Arabidopsis thaliana: one gene and its partners. The protein of the gene in region 2 interacts with the protein of the main gene of each other region in a pairwise test. Each region holds a gene or a part of one and is shown on either strand. Other genes may lie near its edges.

Region 1 (3,695 bases), on a different chromosome or scaffold from region 2:
TTTTACCAAAACACTTTTTTTCCATTTCCCTCCTATGTAAATTTTGTCTTCAGTCATGTTTTTCCCTCCATAGATTTTTCGTTGTTTTTTTATATATGTCCAGAAAGTGAAGACCTTTTCCACCTCTTTTGTTTTTGTTTTTAATGTATTTTTCTACTAATTTATTTTGTTTTTCTCTCAATTCCATCTGAATTTTCATGTCCCTGTTAGTCAAGTAGTTCAAACTCCATCACCAAACGCAACCTGCAAAACAAAAACAAAATTCAAAATGTCCACGAAAATATAACTACAAAAAAATGTAAGTAACATAAAACGGAAAAAAAAAAAAAACGAATGGAACATACCTGACACGACGAATAACGCATACCTGGAAAACTAACGCAACGCTTCACGGTAGAAACGACGACGGATAATGGCAAACAACGCCGGTCAACGGAGTACACGAACGTTGACTTGACGGGACACGAAAAAAAAAACGCTAATCTGACAAACACATACACAATTGATTGTGAGGAATGAGAAATCTCACTTTGTTCAATACAGAAATTAGATTCAGTTCTTTGATTTTCGATTTTAGGTCTCTAATTTTTGGTGAGACTCCGAACATTTTTTTTTTTTTGGGGTTCGACAAAGACGCAAGAGAGAGCAACAAAAACAGTAAAAAAGAGAACGTATGTACAATGCATTCTAGCATCTTCTTTCACCCAACAACAAAAAAATTATGATAGGTGTGTGTTTCTTCCTTTTACAAAATCTCGATTTCTCGAGGATGATTCTTCTTCGCAGACCTCAGCTTCATAACAAGACTTCTTCGCCGGATCTACTAAATCCTGTGGTGGTTTTCGTTTAAAGAGAGAAGAACAACAAACAAAACAAACCTGAATTAACCAAAATCCAGATCAAAATCAATTCTCATCAGCTTTCGCCATGATTGAGAGTCGACTAGGACGTGGCTGATAAGCAGCTCGTCTTTTCAGATGATGCGAAGAAGGTCGAATCAAAGTAGTCAAAGCTCTTCTCACCCACTCTCCTTCAACACCACCAATTCTCACCAGCGAATTAGTCATCGCAGATCGACGCATATTCAATCCATTCGTTGTATACGAAGCTGTACCTTGACCATGTGGATTCGCTACGTTCTTATGTAGACTGCATCTGAAAGATCCTGGATGCGTCGTCGGAGAACACATACATCTCCTTGAGATCTTGTGATTATGGCTCGGTGGCTGATTCTTCGAAACGGAGATCGATTTGTTAGTCGGAGATATAGATCTGCTATCGAGAGAGTAACGAAACGACTGAGACATCGGTTGCGCTGTGTAGAGATTCACACGAGTCGGTGACGCAGATCGGTGGTGACTGTGATTGCTCTCGTGATGACGGTGATTGCTGAAAAAAGCTGACGACGGAGATGAAAAGCTAGAACTCGTTGATGAAGCGAAAGCTGATGAAGAAGATGACGGAACGGCTCTTGAGTAACCACCGCAAAATCGACCTGACGGTGATTGTGAACGAAGCACCGGTCCGTTTGACTTGGTTCGTGACGATGTAGTCACCATTTTTTTCTTCTATGAAAGTCAAATTTGTGAGAGAGGAAGAAGAAGAGAAGAACAAGGTTTTTTTTTTTTTTTTTTGATTAGCTGCTCTGTAGAAAGTGCCTAAGGGAGGTTGGTTCGGCAAACCTAGCGAGTCTCAGGAACCGAATTTATAGCAAAAGCTTGTTCAATGGCAATAAATGTAAATACGTTCAAAGACTTTGACCATTTTCGAAATTTAGGTATTTCTATGTCGGGTTAGTCAAATTTAACCATGGTTAATGAAACTTAACTATGGTTAGCAAAATAAATTACTAATTTGTTTTTCAATTTGAGGCGGTTTTGCCGTTTCGAAAAGAATCGGGTTCGGATCCAACGGCTGAGATGACAAATCAGAGGGAATGCTTTTGGGGGCAGTTAAAAAAGCTGCCACGTGTCATGACTAAGAAAGATGTCAGCTCTTAAGTAGGAGAGTACCCAGAGAAAGTTTAGATAATTACGTAAATTGCCATTGCCCGTTGTTTTGCCAAGAGCCGGATTTACATTTCCAATGGTTTTATTTTGTTTGTTTTATCGTCACAACCCAATGGTTCTGTAACGGTATTGATTCAGATTAATAAGATTATACAAAAGTTTAGCATCTAACAACATTTGTGTAAATTTAGGCTATCTAAAGAAGGCTTCGAATAAATCAGTCTTATGTATAGTGTATTCTAGAGTAAAACATTTTTGCCAACATAAAATAGTTTTAATAAATGTAAGAGAGTTCAATACTAATAAATTAGTGAGCTAAAATCACATATGTCAAACCATTCAAAAGTCTACCAAATAAATATGACTTTATATTGGGTTTATAAAATAATTTTAATAGCAATTTGAAGATTTGTGTCATATTTATTTGGTAGACTTTGAATAGTTTTATAAACATATTTTAAATAATTAAATTTGGTTTATAAAATAAATTTAATAGCAATTTGAAGATTTATGACTTTTAGTAATTTTAGATTTTGTAGTAGATATTAAAAGCTTACATTGATCAAATTTAGCACTCTATTGTTCTTGTTTTTTTTTTGTCTGAAACATGCCTTTGGTCTACGTATATAGTCTCTTAACATCAAATATTAATTACTAATTATTATTTTTTTATAATAAATATCAAAATTAGTTTTTTTTTTTTTTGGGTTCATCAATACTAGTTGCTAATACCCAACAACATCAATATAGAAATCTTATAACATGAAGGTAACATATAAAGTTACATCTATGATCTAACTGACACCATCATTAAAAGTACCTACGTTTGCTGGTTTGTTTCCTTTCAAGATGGTTTAATGCTAGAAGAAGAAATAACAGCTCACTACCAAATAAAAAAGGGCCAAAGAGAGAGGACTTGATATAGCTAGTTTTTTGGAAGGCAATGCCAATCGTTAATTCGTAACACTTTAAGAATTTCGTATTATGATCATAATTAGTCAAGAGTTACTCAACACGTAACACTTAACATATTTCAACAACTTTTCACCTTAAACCTACTGGTGAGTTAGCCAAACTCTTGAATGGGCTTAAAAGCAATGTAACAACAACAACGAATCTAGCATTTGGTATAAAGTTGTTACGGTGGAGGAGATCCATGCAACTGTGTTTCATATTAGACCTAAAGAGTCCCTACAAATTGATGGAACTACTGACTCGAACACTATTCTGATGTATTAGAACATTTATATGCTATCTTAAAGGTATAACAGCTTCTCTGCAGAAGGAATTTGGTGATGAACTCAACCATAGTAATAATATATGTCTTATTCCAATGCGTCCTTAACCGCAAAATACAAAATATGCTTAGACAGATTATTGCCAGTAATAGTTTTGGTGCAGAATATCAATTTTAAGAATTTGATGGATACATTTCAGAGAGTTCTTACCAACTAAACCTTTAAACACGGTTTCTACAGATATTAAACGTTTGACGGTCAGAAACGACCTATATTTTGTCTAATTTGATTAAATATTTAAGAGAGAATTATGATTGAGATTATTAATAAGGTCTGATCTACTCGTTTCACATTTTGTCTAAATTGGTCTTGACAGAATCCATATTTTGTGTGTAATTAATTCTTAGTAGCACCTATCAAACGTTAATACCACTAAAATAGTATTATA
Region 2 (5,914 bases):
TGTCGGACCACAGTTGATAAGAATCAAATACCGAAAGCCTTATGGCTATTATTCTATGTGATAATTATGTAGATCACACATAAAAAAAGTTCACCAGCTCATTACTCATACTCACTTACATGATCAAGTTCAAATTATTAAAATGTAAAAGTCTTCATGTAAACAAATCGGGCCGTTCTAAGCCCATATAATGAAGCCTGTTATGCACCTAAACAAATAGGGCCCTTTTATCAATTAGGGAAAGAATTACGGGCCTAAACAGCTCAGAAGTTCTGTCAATTAAACTCTGTGTTTCCTTAGTCTAATAACTAACCGATAAAATAGGTAGTAAAAAAGTCAACGATAGTTATCCCAAAAATGCAATGTTAATATTTTTGTCAAATCTGATTGGTGTTGGAAAGTGGACTATCTATAAATCCATCTTTAAATGATAGACAGAGACACAGAGTAGAAGACTTTACAGCTGTACGTAGCTTTTTGTATAAACCACAAAAATAGTCAGAAGGCGACCTACACTATGTGATCATATAACACTCCCCATATATCTTTCAAGTCTTCGTTTACGAGGTTAATATTTTTCAACGTTTAGGATCCAGGTTTCTTTTAGATTCAAGTTGTGAATTAGAAAACAAACAAAAGAAGAAGTTTTGAGAGCACGTCTTCTAACATGGAAGCATTAAACTTGACGTATTTTTATGGACTATATTAATCGATATGCTGGGAGGATGATGAAAAAATAAAGAATTTATATATAAATATTAGTTATTTAGGTAAGTATGAAAGATAAATAATATATAAACCAAAAAATTTTTTTTAAAAAAATTAATTACAAAAATGCTATTGAATAAAAATAATTGTAATATTCGGATGATAAGTATATAATTATTTGTTTAATGTTTTAAAAACTATGATATCGCGATAAGTTTATAAATTATTTGTTAAAACATATTTATCGATTTAAAATTGTAAATCAGAATTTTTTATTTATGTATATTCAGCACAATAAAAGGAAATTAGACTTTTTTATATAATTAACATGATAATAATTATAACTACATGATATATAGAATGATAACATGCTAATATATTATATAACAGAATAATATTTATATGAAAACGTTAAGATATTCGATACATGAATAATGTTTACTGTAACGGATAATTTATACATAATATTTACTAATAATTGTTAACGAGGTTAACCTGATGATAACAATGAAAATATTTAGTAACAAAACAATATATGAGACTTTAATTAAAAAAAAGAAAAATACAGAAGAATAATAAAGTAACTTCATTAGTTCTTTTACTGTTGAAATAGTCCACAATTCCTACACCTAATTTTTCAGTCTTCTGAGCATATAAAGTGATATTTTCCTATTTTTATTTACTTTTTAATTGTATTATAATAATATTTGGGTATTTTTGGTTATTATAATAATATCTGAAAATATTATTGATATTTTTGGTTATTTTTATATTTTTACTAAAACAACCGAACCGATCCGAATCCGAACCAAAATCGAACCAAGTTTTTAGAATATCTGAATGGTTCTCAACCTCTTCATATCCGAATAGATTTGATATCCAAAAAAGAACCAAACAGATAGGGATACCCGAATGACCAGACCTAGTATTATTGATATAAAAAAGGTTGCTCAATGTATAATTTCATTTGACTAGCTGGTCTGTTTTCGTACAAACACACTCACAAAAGTACGAAAATAGGAAGTCGTCTTAGTTTTAGAAAATAACTATTGCTGCTTATTGGCATATATTGAAAAATCAAATACTACTAGTAATCGTAAGTTCTAAATTTGAATGTTTTTTTCCCGAGTAATTGAATTGTTCTTAGTAATTAAGTTCACAAATTTGGAAAATTGCGATATCTGAGAACGTATTAATTTACCTGTCGGTAAACAGTCACACTCATGTTTCTAGATTTCGTATATTTTAGTAATAATTTGGTTAGTCTCCTTATCTGCGAGTCAACGAGACCCGGTCCGCTCAACCGTACTACAGTCTAAATTCTAGTTTCACGCGCTTACTTACATTACATACGCGCTCATCTCTTCTTTACTCAAAAGTTTTAAAAAACGAATATCAAATCAACGCTAACAAAGTTTGATTTTTTGCTTCCATCTTCTTCCCCTCCTTAAGTTTTCAAATCTATTCATCAAATTTTCTTTTGTCTTTCCCTTAAGATTCCCGGGAAAGCCAAGGAAAAACGCTAGAAGAAAATTAACATAATAATGTTAATTGTTGCTTAAACCTTCCAGCTCAAGTTTGGTAGTAAGTAAGCAGACATTTAATCCCCCAAGAAGCAATTGAAGAAGACTTTTAATTCTTCTGAATTTTCTTTCCAAAAACCCCTTTTTAGAAAATTGGTTGCATCATAGAGATTGGTTCATTTATTCCCACCGGAGAAGATCATCAAATTCGTCTTCTCACCTATATCGCCGACGACATTCTTCACGGTTCGTTTGATTTCTACCTGTTGGTTCTTCGTTTTATCTGAATTCAATCGGAGATATATGTTTTTGAGTTCGAATTTGATAAAAAATCGAAACTTTTTTGATTTGAATCGCAGTTGGAAAAAAACAAAGCAAAACCCTAGAAATAGTGGCTGATGAGGTCGCGAGGCGATGTCTCTGAAGCAGAAGGTACGAGATCAGATGCTGGTTCTTCAAGAAGCGAAGAAGAAACGAGTCTGAAGGAGAAACACTCAAATTCGCGAGCTGGGTCTCAAAGATCTGGAAAAAGCTTGAGAAATGACGAGCCTAATTACGGATCAGATTCTTCATCTAAGAACACAAGCAGCAGCAACAACCCTATTGAGTATACAGAGCATGAACGAGCTGAGCTTTTAAGAAGGTTAGATTCTATCAAAGATCATCTACTTCGCGGTGGTGGTGGTGGTAATAATGTAGTTGATAAACCTAAAGAACCAGATCAGAATCAGCCTTTCCTTAGACCAGTTCATCTTCATGGTCATGCTAATCATAATCCTGGTCCTTCTTATTACCATCAGTATCCAGAACCTATTCAATACCCTGGACCGGTTCATGGAATGTATCCTCAAGCTTATCAAGATCCTTATGGGTACCAAAGAAGACCACCTCCAGTTCCTAATCCAAACTGGTATCCTCCTGGTCATTACCCTAATCAGATGGCTCGTCAGTATCCTGGAGGTCAATATGTTGAACTTGGTCCTGATATAGTTGAGCCACATTCTTACTATCCAGCTACTCCTGGTAGGTACGGTGACCTGCCTCCGTATAGCCCGGTTTCGTCTCACCATCGTGAAGAGAAACTCGCTACACAGTACAGTGATATGCCTCCGTATAGCCCGGTTTCGTCTCACCATCGTGGCGAGAAACTCACGACACCGTATAGTCCACGTGTTAATAACGGTTCGAGTTTTCCTTCTTCGATGGGCACTCCAGGTCCTCGAGGTGGTTATGCAAGGTGGCCGAGTGAACATGATTCTGAAATGGGCGGTGCTTTTGCTCGTGGGTATGTTAAGAAAGCTGTATCGGATACTGGTGTTCGACGTTGTCATCCTCTTGCTGGTGGTGCTCCTTTTATAGCTTGTCATAGTTGCTTTGAGCTGCTTTACTTGCCTAAGAAGAAGCTTTTGTCTCAGGAAAGGTTACATAAGCTGCAGTGCGGTGCTTGTTCTGAAGTTATTAGTTTCACAATCGTTGATAGGAAACTCGTTTTCTCTTCTGGTAATGAGGAAACAAAACCGGTCTCTCTAGAGGTTGAAGATAGAAACACAACAAACACAGTAGTGATAGAGGAGGAAGTCTCTTCTGTTGATTTCAACAGCTCAGGTAGAGATATTCCACGTAAGGATGAAGAAGAACCAGTGCAAGAACTGAGAAATCATCAGGATACTATTACTACGCAAAGCGTCCGCTCTGAATCTCAACACTCAGATGATGAAGAAAGATCGAGCAATTCTAGTGAACAACAACAGAAGGAGGTCAAATCTGTTCGTCGGCGAGGTAAAGGGTCAAAAGCACCTGAACCCGCTGCTCCTGATAATGCCAGTCTCCTTGAACTTTTTGAGTATTCTAATGTAAACAGAGCTGCACTCGCTTATGGAATGGCGCAGTTAGGTTATGAAAAGCCAGATAAGCAAAAGTCTTTCATGACACAGGACTCGCTGAAACCAGAATCAGTAGCTACAGAGACAGAGGTTTCTTACAATGGATACTCTAACACCGAGATCTCAGAAGATTCAAGGTACTCAAACAGAAAGGGTAGTGAGTACGGTTCGACAGAGATCACAACGAGGTCCTCTACTGATCAAAACGAAGACCAGATGAAGTCATTAGAGGTTTGGGTTAATGGACATCTTATACCAGAAGATCTTGTTAGCAGTGCTGAGAAATTAGCTGGACCAATCCAAGCTGGAAAGTATTGGTACTTCCATGAACTTCAGCATCCACTGTTTCTCTCTTGTTTTTGTTTTTCCCTTTACTCAGTTTCTGATACATGTCTCTGATTCAGGTATGATTACCGAGCTGGGTTCTGGGGAGTGATGGGCAAACCGTGTCTCGGTATAATACCTGTAAGTACCTTCACATTGTTCTCTCAAGTTGATTATTGGAATGGTGTCATCAAATTGATGAAGAAATGGTTGACTTACTTGTTGTTGTTGCAGCCATTTATTGAAGAGTTTAGCCATCCAATGCTGGATAACTGCGCTGCAGGAAACACAGACGTGTTTGTGAATGGAAGAGAGCTTCACAAGAGAGATTTCGAGTTACTTGTGGGTCGTGGTCTGCCTAGAGACAAGAACCGTTCTTACATTGTTGATATATCAGGAAGAATCCTTGATCAAGATTCAGGAGAAGAACTTCACAGCCTTGGCAAATTAGCCCCAACGTAAGCAGATTCACACAAATGATTTTTATTCTTTTGAGATTTTGAGATCACCTAAGATTCTAAAGTTTTAGTGTGTTAAACTTGAAACAGGATTGAGAAAGTGAAGCATGGATTTGGTATGAGAGTTCCAAGATCATTAGCTTCATGAAAACTCCCCCTAGTAACAACTACACAACCAAAATATGATTCTGCTTCTTGTTTCCATCTTCATATTATTTATTTGTTAAACACAACTGTAAAGTGTTTTTTACATCTTGATTTTGATTTTTGGTATTCTTTTTAAAATATCTTTGGGGAAATGTCTGTATGTTTTTTATTGCGACCAGAACCGGTTTAGGGGTTATAGACTGTATACAAACCGGGTTCTCTCGGTACAAGGTTTGTGCTTTGTATTATTTCCATTTTTTTATGGAATGATATTAGTTTGCTCTTAATGACTTTTTTTTTTATCTCTTTTATTGCTCTTTTGTAAGTTGTAACAGAAGCTTCATCGATAACATGGTTTACTCCTCCTAATTCCTTATTATCTCTGGTTTAACTAAATCGTTTATTTAAACCGGTTTTGGTTTGTAGGTTTCTTTCATGTCAGCAACAATATATGTAGGTCATTCGACCATACTCAACAATTCAATTAAACAATGTTCTCCTAGCTGATCTTTCTTTCTTCATGATTAGCTTCTAGGCTTGATTTGCCCTTTCCTCGAGTTCTAGGTGAATTATGGATTGGGATTATCTATCTATCGGTTAGTTATCCGGTTTCATCTTTCTTTCCACTAAAATGTTCATATTGTCTGCTAATTCCTCTCTTGGCTGATGGACTAGTTTTTGCACGTTTCTGAAGTGGGTCCTTCCTAAAATACAAGACAACAGATTATAACTTACTCATGGGCCCAATATCAATATCAATATCAAACAAGAAAGAGAATCTGTTCTTAACAGGCCTCGTGGTCCGTTCGTTTAGTTTTCATGTTTCAATATTTCTTAGAAAAATACAAAATTAGAGTAAGAACAAAAAGAT
Region 3 (5,211 bases), on a different chromosome or scaffold from region 2:
AGGAACTAGATACAGAGATAGTAGTGGCTACAGCTCGTGGAACAAATTCAGACACTACTGCTGTTGCTGCTAACGTAGTTATGGATGAGAGACAGATGAATGCTCTTTTCCTCGACCTGGTAAGCAGTTAGACGTAATTTCTTAAGGATTTTTTTTTGGTTTGAAAGTTGTTAAGAGGATATAGAAGTTGCATTGAGTTAAGATAAACCCCAGGATTTGAGCTTTCAGCAGTTGAAAATAAGTTCACTTTCTTATAGGTGCGTGTTAGCGAATCATATGGTCTTAAGTTCCCGAGAGAGTTTGCACTTCTGTTGAAGCAACTTCTGTACTTCGATCGATACACAAGACTATTAGCCCCAAACCTGAACATGCTGCAGGATCAGCGGATCTCTATCGCGTCCAACAAGAGGACGAATGGATACAAGGACAGCTTCAACTAAGTTTATGCAAATATACTTCACTAAACCTATTCAAACTTTTTATTTATTTACAAGTGGTAATGTTATAGTAGATTATCAAGCCAAGAACGATGATGAATTCAATCTTGTTACAAACATATCATGACTATATACAACAGATGAACTATATCTTCTTCTATTTTTTTGTATAATTTTTCACAAGTGTCATGGTTTCTACTTTAAACAAAAGTGCAGAGACAAATCTTTTACCTATACACAGAAGTGAAATAAAGAATGGCAAACAATGGCAAAACTTTCCATCTCAGATTCTCAGAAGTTCATAGTTCTCGTTGCTTCATCTGAAGCAGAGATCTATATAGAAGGAGGACGCTGTGAAACTTTAAAGACTTGGCTTACAGTAGAATATCCCATTAGTCGGTGAAGCGGAGAGCCTCTAGCCACAGGTAGCTCCTCATCCTGAACAGAGGATCTCAGCTTTTCAGGTTTGGAGGGAGCTTTGTCTATGGGAGACTCTGATGTTGAATTGCTATTCCTATTAGCATTTATGTCATGTGTTACTGCAGGAACTAAATGATTTCTGGACTGAAGTGAGAATCTGAGAACAGTGGTGCAAGTGCCGCATCTGAGAAGATGATGTTTCCTCTTGAAAATGAGAAAGTCTACAGGAAGCTGCAGGTTTTCTGAGCAACTGTAACAGCTAACAAAAGGTGCCCCACCAGCTGTTGGACGGACATGACGCTTGGCCACACGTTGTCTCTCTCTTAGACGACGGGTCTGTAACTCATGGTGGTGGCCAGCATGTCTATTACGCTGATGATCCTCCACGTCTGAGACTATCTCACGCCTCCATCTCGGATGATACTCAGGTTGTTCCATTGGTCTCTGTGGACTTGCAGAATATGAACTGTAAGAATTATGAAGCTGACCTGAATACCAACCGCCATGGTTTCTTCCCATTTCACCTGAGATCCTACTTCCTTGGCCCTGACCTCTTGCCCTTGGGTTGTTGTGATACATATAGTCAACAAAATCGTGGTTCATGCCTCCAGCGTATGAAGGCATTTGAAGTGAGTGTGCACGGGGATAGCGATCAAACTCATCATGTGACGGATGGGAAGGGCTTCCACGTGTGTATGATTCTCTCGGATAGAAAGGCATGTCAGGCCGAAGTTGTTCTGTCACATGTCTCCTCCCTTGTCTGCCAAGGCGCCCTCCTGGTCCCTCTAGCTGTAGAGACCTGTTCTGATGCCGCTCGTTGTATGTGGTAATCCCATTGCGCCTATTCTCAGAGAAAGGGGAGGAGGAACTAGCGCCTTGCTCCTTATACCCAGGGTATCTATGCATCTCAAATTTGCCTGATCTTATTTTCTGAAGAGCATTCCATTGTTCGTCATCATCGAGAAGTTGGCCTTCCCTTTCGTCAGAGGAAGACTCACTCCCATCATAAGCAGAAGAAGTCTTGTTTGCAGGATAATCAAGTTGGCTTTGCTTCTCTTCAACAGGGGAAGCATCAGGTGAGATCTCAGCATTGCCAGATGAATTACTCGCTCTTGCAGCCACCACATCATAAGCAGAAGGAGTCTTGTTTGCAAGAATGTCAAGTTGGCTTTGCTTCTCTTCTACGGGGGAAGCATCCGGTGAAATCTCAGAGTTACCGGATGGATTACTCGCTCTTGCAGCCACCACATGATCAACGCTCAAGCTTCCAGAGCTAGATCCAGATCCTGCAGCTTCTGCTACGGTGTTCATCATATGAGACTCCAATCTGGAGTTGTCTTCTCTTTCATTCTTCTCAGAATCACCAAGTGAACATTCCTGCTCTTGAATTTCATTTGTCCCATCTCCATTAGATAACTCTAAGTCATCAAGCTCCTTCTCCGTAGACTCCATGGATGCATTCCTACCTTTCTCATACTCTTGGTCCACGGAACGACCTGGAGATGACGGCAGAACCGTGTCCTGCCCCGAGCTGCTGGACACATTGTTGGTTTCAGGTACGCTTTGCGGCTCATTGGCTTGAGCCCTCTCTGTCTCTCCTGCACTTGGTGTACTGCTTGGAGCAATGTTCCGCCTTTTCGCTGAATCAAAGAAGCAACAACCAAATTTAATAATGAAAGAGATCATGCCACAAAACACAACTGGTTTGAGCTCAGACATCCAAACAGATGGACAACCAGGAGTAGAACAAAGCCAGATTCAGGGACAGAGTTCACATTATAATCAGAGGCAAAATCGAAATGGAAAGAAAGTTACCTTGAAGAATGGCGGAACAACCACCGCACTGATAAACAGGAACATCTTCGTCTTCCTGTAGAATCTTCAAGCACTTGGGACACCTCACCAACCGAATTTTCTGACCCGTCTGGCTCGCCATTGTTGGTACCAAATTTCAAAGACTTAACTCTACTTTTGTTATTTTTGGGTTATAACTCTACCTCATTAGTTAGAGAATCATCATCAACAGAACCCAGAACCCTAATAAACAGAGAGAGAGAGAGGAACCAAAGTAAAAGATTGAAACTTTGTGAAGTTCTTTAAAAGAAAATGGGAGAGGAGACCAGAGGAAGAAGGTCAACGCGGTGTGACTTTTAAGGAGGAGAAATGGTATAACCCGGGTCTGGTCTGAGAGCTGGTTACGGATCCGGGTAGAGATGAAAAATGGCGAGAAGGAAAAGATTACATGATTCAAGAAGCCATGAAAATTGTGTAAGATCCTCCACAGAAGAATCAAAGTAAAACTCTTTGCAGAGAGTTATTATAACTCGAGGGATTGTGGAAGAATAAACCCAGAAGTTGAAGATTTTATAGAGAGAGAGAGAAAGAATGAGATAGAAATAGAGAGGAGAATTTCTTGTCGTGGGGGCGAAGTAGAAGAAGAAGAAGAAGAATTGAGAGAACAGAGACAAAAAAACAAAAACAAATCGTTGGACAGACAGTTTTTTTTTTTTTTTTACTATGGTTTCTCTCTTTTCTTGTTTTTTTCCTCTGAGAAAAGTCTCTCTTTTTCCGTGTCTAAAAAGTTTTTTCTTTTTAATATCTCTTTGAGGAATTTTTTGGTATCTTTTTTCATTCTTGCAAGTCAATTAGAACATCAACGACTCGTTCTCTAATCACTATTCTTTCTTAAACAAAACCCAGTCTGTTGTTGATCTTTTCAATAAACAATATTGGCCCAATTTTTTTCTAAAGAAAGCATCTGCAACAGAGCTTTGTTAGAAGAATTAAGTAGAGGAAGATAAGAGAAAGAGTAAATTGGGTTCAGCTAAATAAAAATTTGGATAAAGAGTTATAAATGGAATGGTGTTGTTAATGTCGGCGCCTGTTTCATTTATTTTGGATAGAGAAATTTTAGCCCCACTACTACTTCCATTTTTCTCATTTATTGATCCCAGTCCTTTTTTTCTTACTTTTTACCATTACCTTCTTAAATATTTCCTAACATTCGAAGTTTGAATATTCCGGTAAATGACTAAATGTTGCCAAGGGAAATTAAATTACCGTGAATGTTGAAATGAATTGGGTTCCACATATTTATTTCTAGGACCTGACAAAAAGCATAATGATCATATGTTTTTCGTATATATATTTATATCACTGGTCGAATTTAACGAACTTTTCATTTTTCTAATGAGAATTCACTAGCCGTGTGAGTGTTTTCAATCACTTTTATTTATAACCAGACAAGTTGAGTCTTTGGTTCATAACCTTTTTAGGTATGAAACCAGTTTTCAAATATAGCACCTACAAAGAATTTGAAATTGATAGCAACGTAACAAAATATTAATCTTCAAATTGGTTCATAAAGTTTTAGGGAACTTGTGAGAAATAAATGAATAAAAGTTTTGTAGGGCTATCTCAAGTCAAATAGTATATATTAAGTATTAACGTACATGTATATCACATTATTTTTTAACGATATGAAAAAAAACTAAGGTAATGGTCGACAGACTCGGTCTTTTATCGTTTTGTGCTGTCTAGTTTCTCTACTTTCTAGATTATCGTTTTGGCTTTGTGATTCTGTAAAAGTCAACCTTTGTTGTGGTGTCCTATTTCTTTGTAGACTTAATTAGAGGTTGCTTCAATATTTGTTTTCTCTGCACAATCCAATGACTAACGGGATACGATTCACAAAACGAATCAAATCAAATCAAGTTCAATACCATTCGAGTCTTCTTCTTCACAGATTACAAATTCGATTATGCGTTGACTCTTTAATTGAGTCAATGGTTTGGACCACTACATGGTTTGTAAATGTTTATTTCTATTTCAAATCGCTAGCTGTTACCTAACATTCAGGACATGAACAAAAACTATCTTACTAAAAAAAAGTCAAAATTAAAGTTTCAAATGTATAAAAGATAATATTGGAGGTCAACTCCCATTTGACAACATTCATATATAGTTATAAATTGATTTTGTTTTTCTATTTACTGTGTTCCCATGATGTTTCGTGAACACATGAAGTTATGGTATTGAATAGAATGGATTTTCTTTTAGTTTTTGGTTTATTCTACAGAACAAGCTCTTGAAATAACTAAAAAATTCACTAACTAAAAACTTGTGATATATACCATGCTGGTTATATTCGCACAACGATTGCAATCATAATTGGCTACTATAGACGATTTAATTGATAAGAATATTCAATTATTCTACCTATGCTTTGGAGAGTCTATTTCTTTTTACTTGAAAATTTCCGATTATAAATAAAGATAGACACCTCAAAGCAAAAAACTATTCTTTTACACCTGAAATTCTTTAATACATGTCTTTAATTAATAATAGATTCCAT

The links. Proteins that work in one complex are often made in the same cells at the same time.
Region 1: the proteins of AT4G01090 (region 2) and AT5G11090 interact in a two-hybrid assay, tested with the Arabidopsis thaliana proteins (one large-scale study listed by BioGRID).
Region 3: the proteins of AT4G01090 (region 2) and AT5G05190 interact in a two-hybrid assay, tested with the Arabidopsis thaliana proteins (one large-scale study listed by BioGRID).

Annotation. Positions count from the first base shown.
Region 1 is NC_003076.8:3,522,660-3,526,354, reverse strand, and holds AT5G11090 (serine-rich protein-like protein), read right to left. Parts: upstream 1,679-3,695; 5' UTR 1,560-1,678; coding exon 906-1,559; 3' UTR 509-905; downstream 1-508.
Region 2 is NC_003075.7:469,964-475,877, reverse strand, and holds AT4G01090 (hypothetical protein (DUF3133)), read left to right. Parts: upstream 1-1,998; 5' UTR 1,999-2,477; intron 2,478-2,590; 5' UTR 2,591-2,629; coding exon 2,630-4,431; intron 4,432-4,518; coding exon 4,519-4,579; intron 4,580-4,672; coding exon 4,673-4,896; intron 4,897-4,986; coding exon 4,987-5,044; 3' UTR 5,045-5,372; downstream 5,373-5,914.
Region 3 is NC_003076.8:1,539,435-1,544,645, reverse strand, and holds AT5G05190 (hypothetical protein (DUF3133)), read right to left. Parts: upstream 3,429-5,211; 5' UTR 2,794-3,428; coding exon 2,673-2,793; intron 2,498-2,672; coding exon 771-2,497; 3' UTR 509-770; downstream 1-508. Other genes in the region: AT5G05200 (Protein kinase superfamily protein), read left to right, coding at 3-119, 258-440. UniProt on the Arabidopsis thaliana protein: Plays a negative role in salicylic acid (SA)-mediated resistance to powdery mildew (e.g. Golovinomyces cichoracearum). May modulate plant immunity by regulating the relocation of EDR1 by interacting with CHC2 and modulating endocytosis.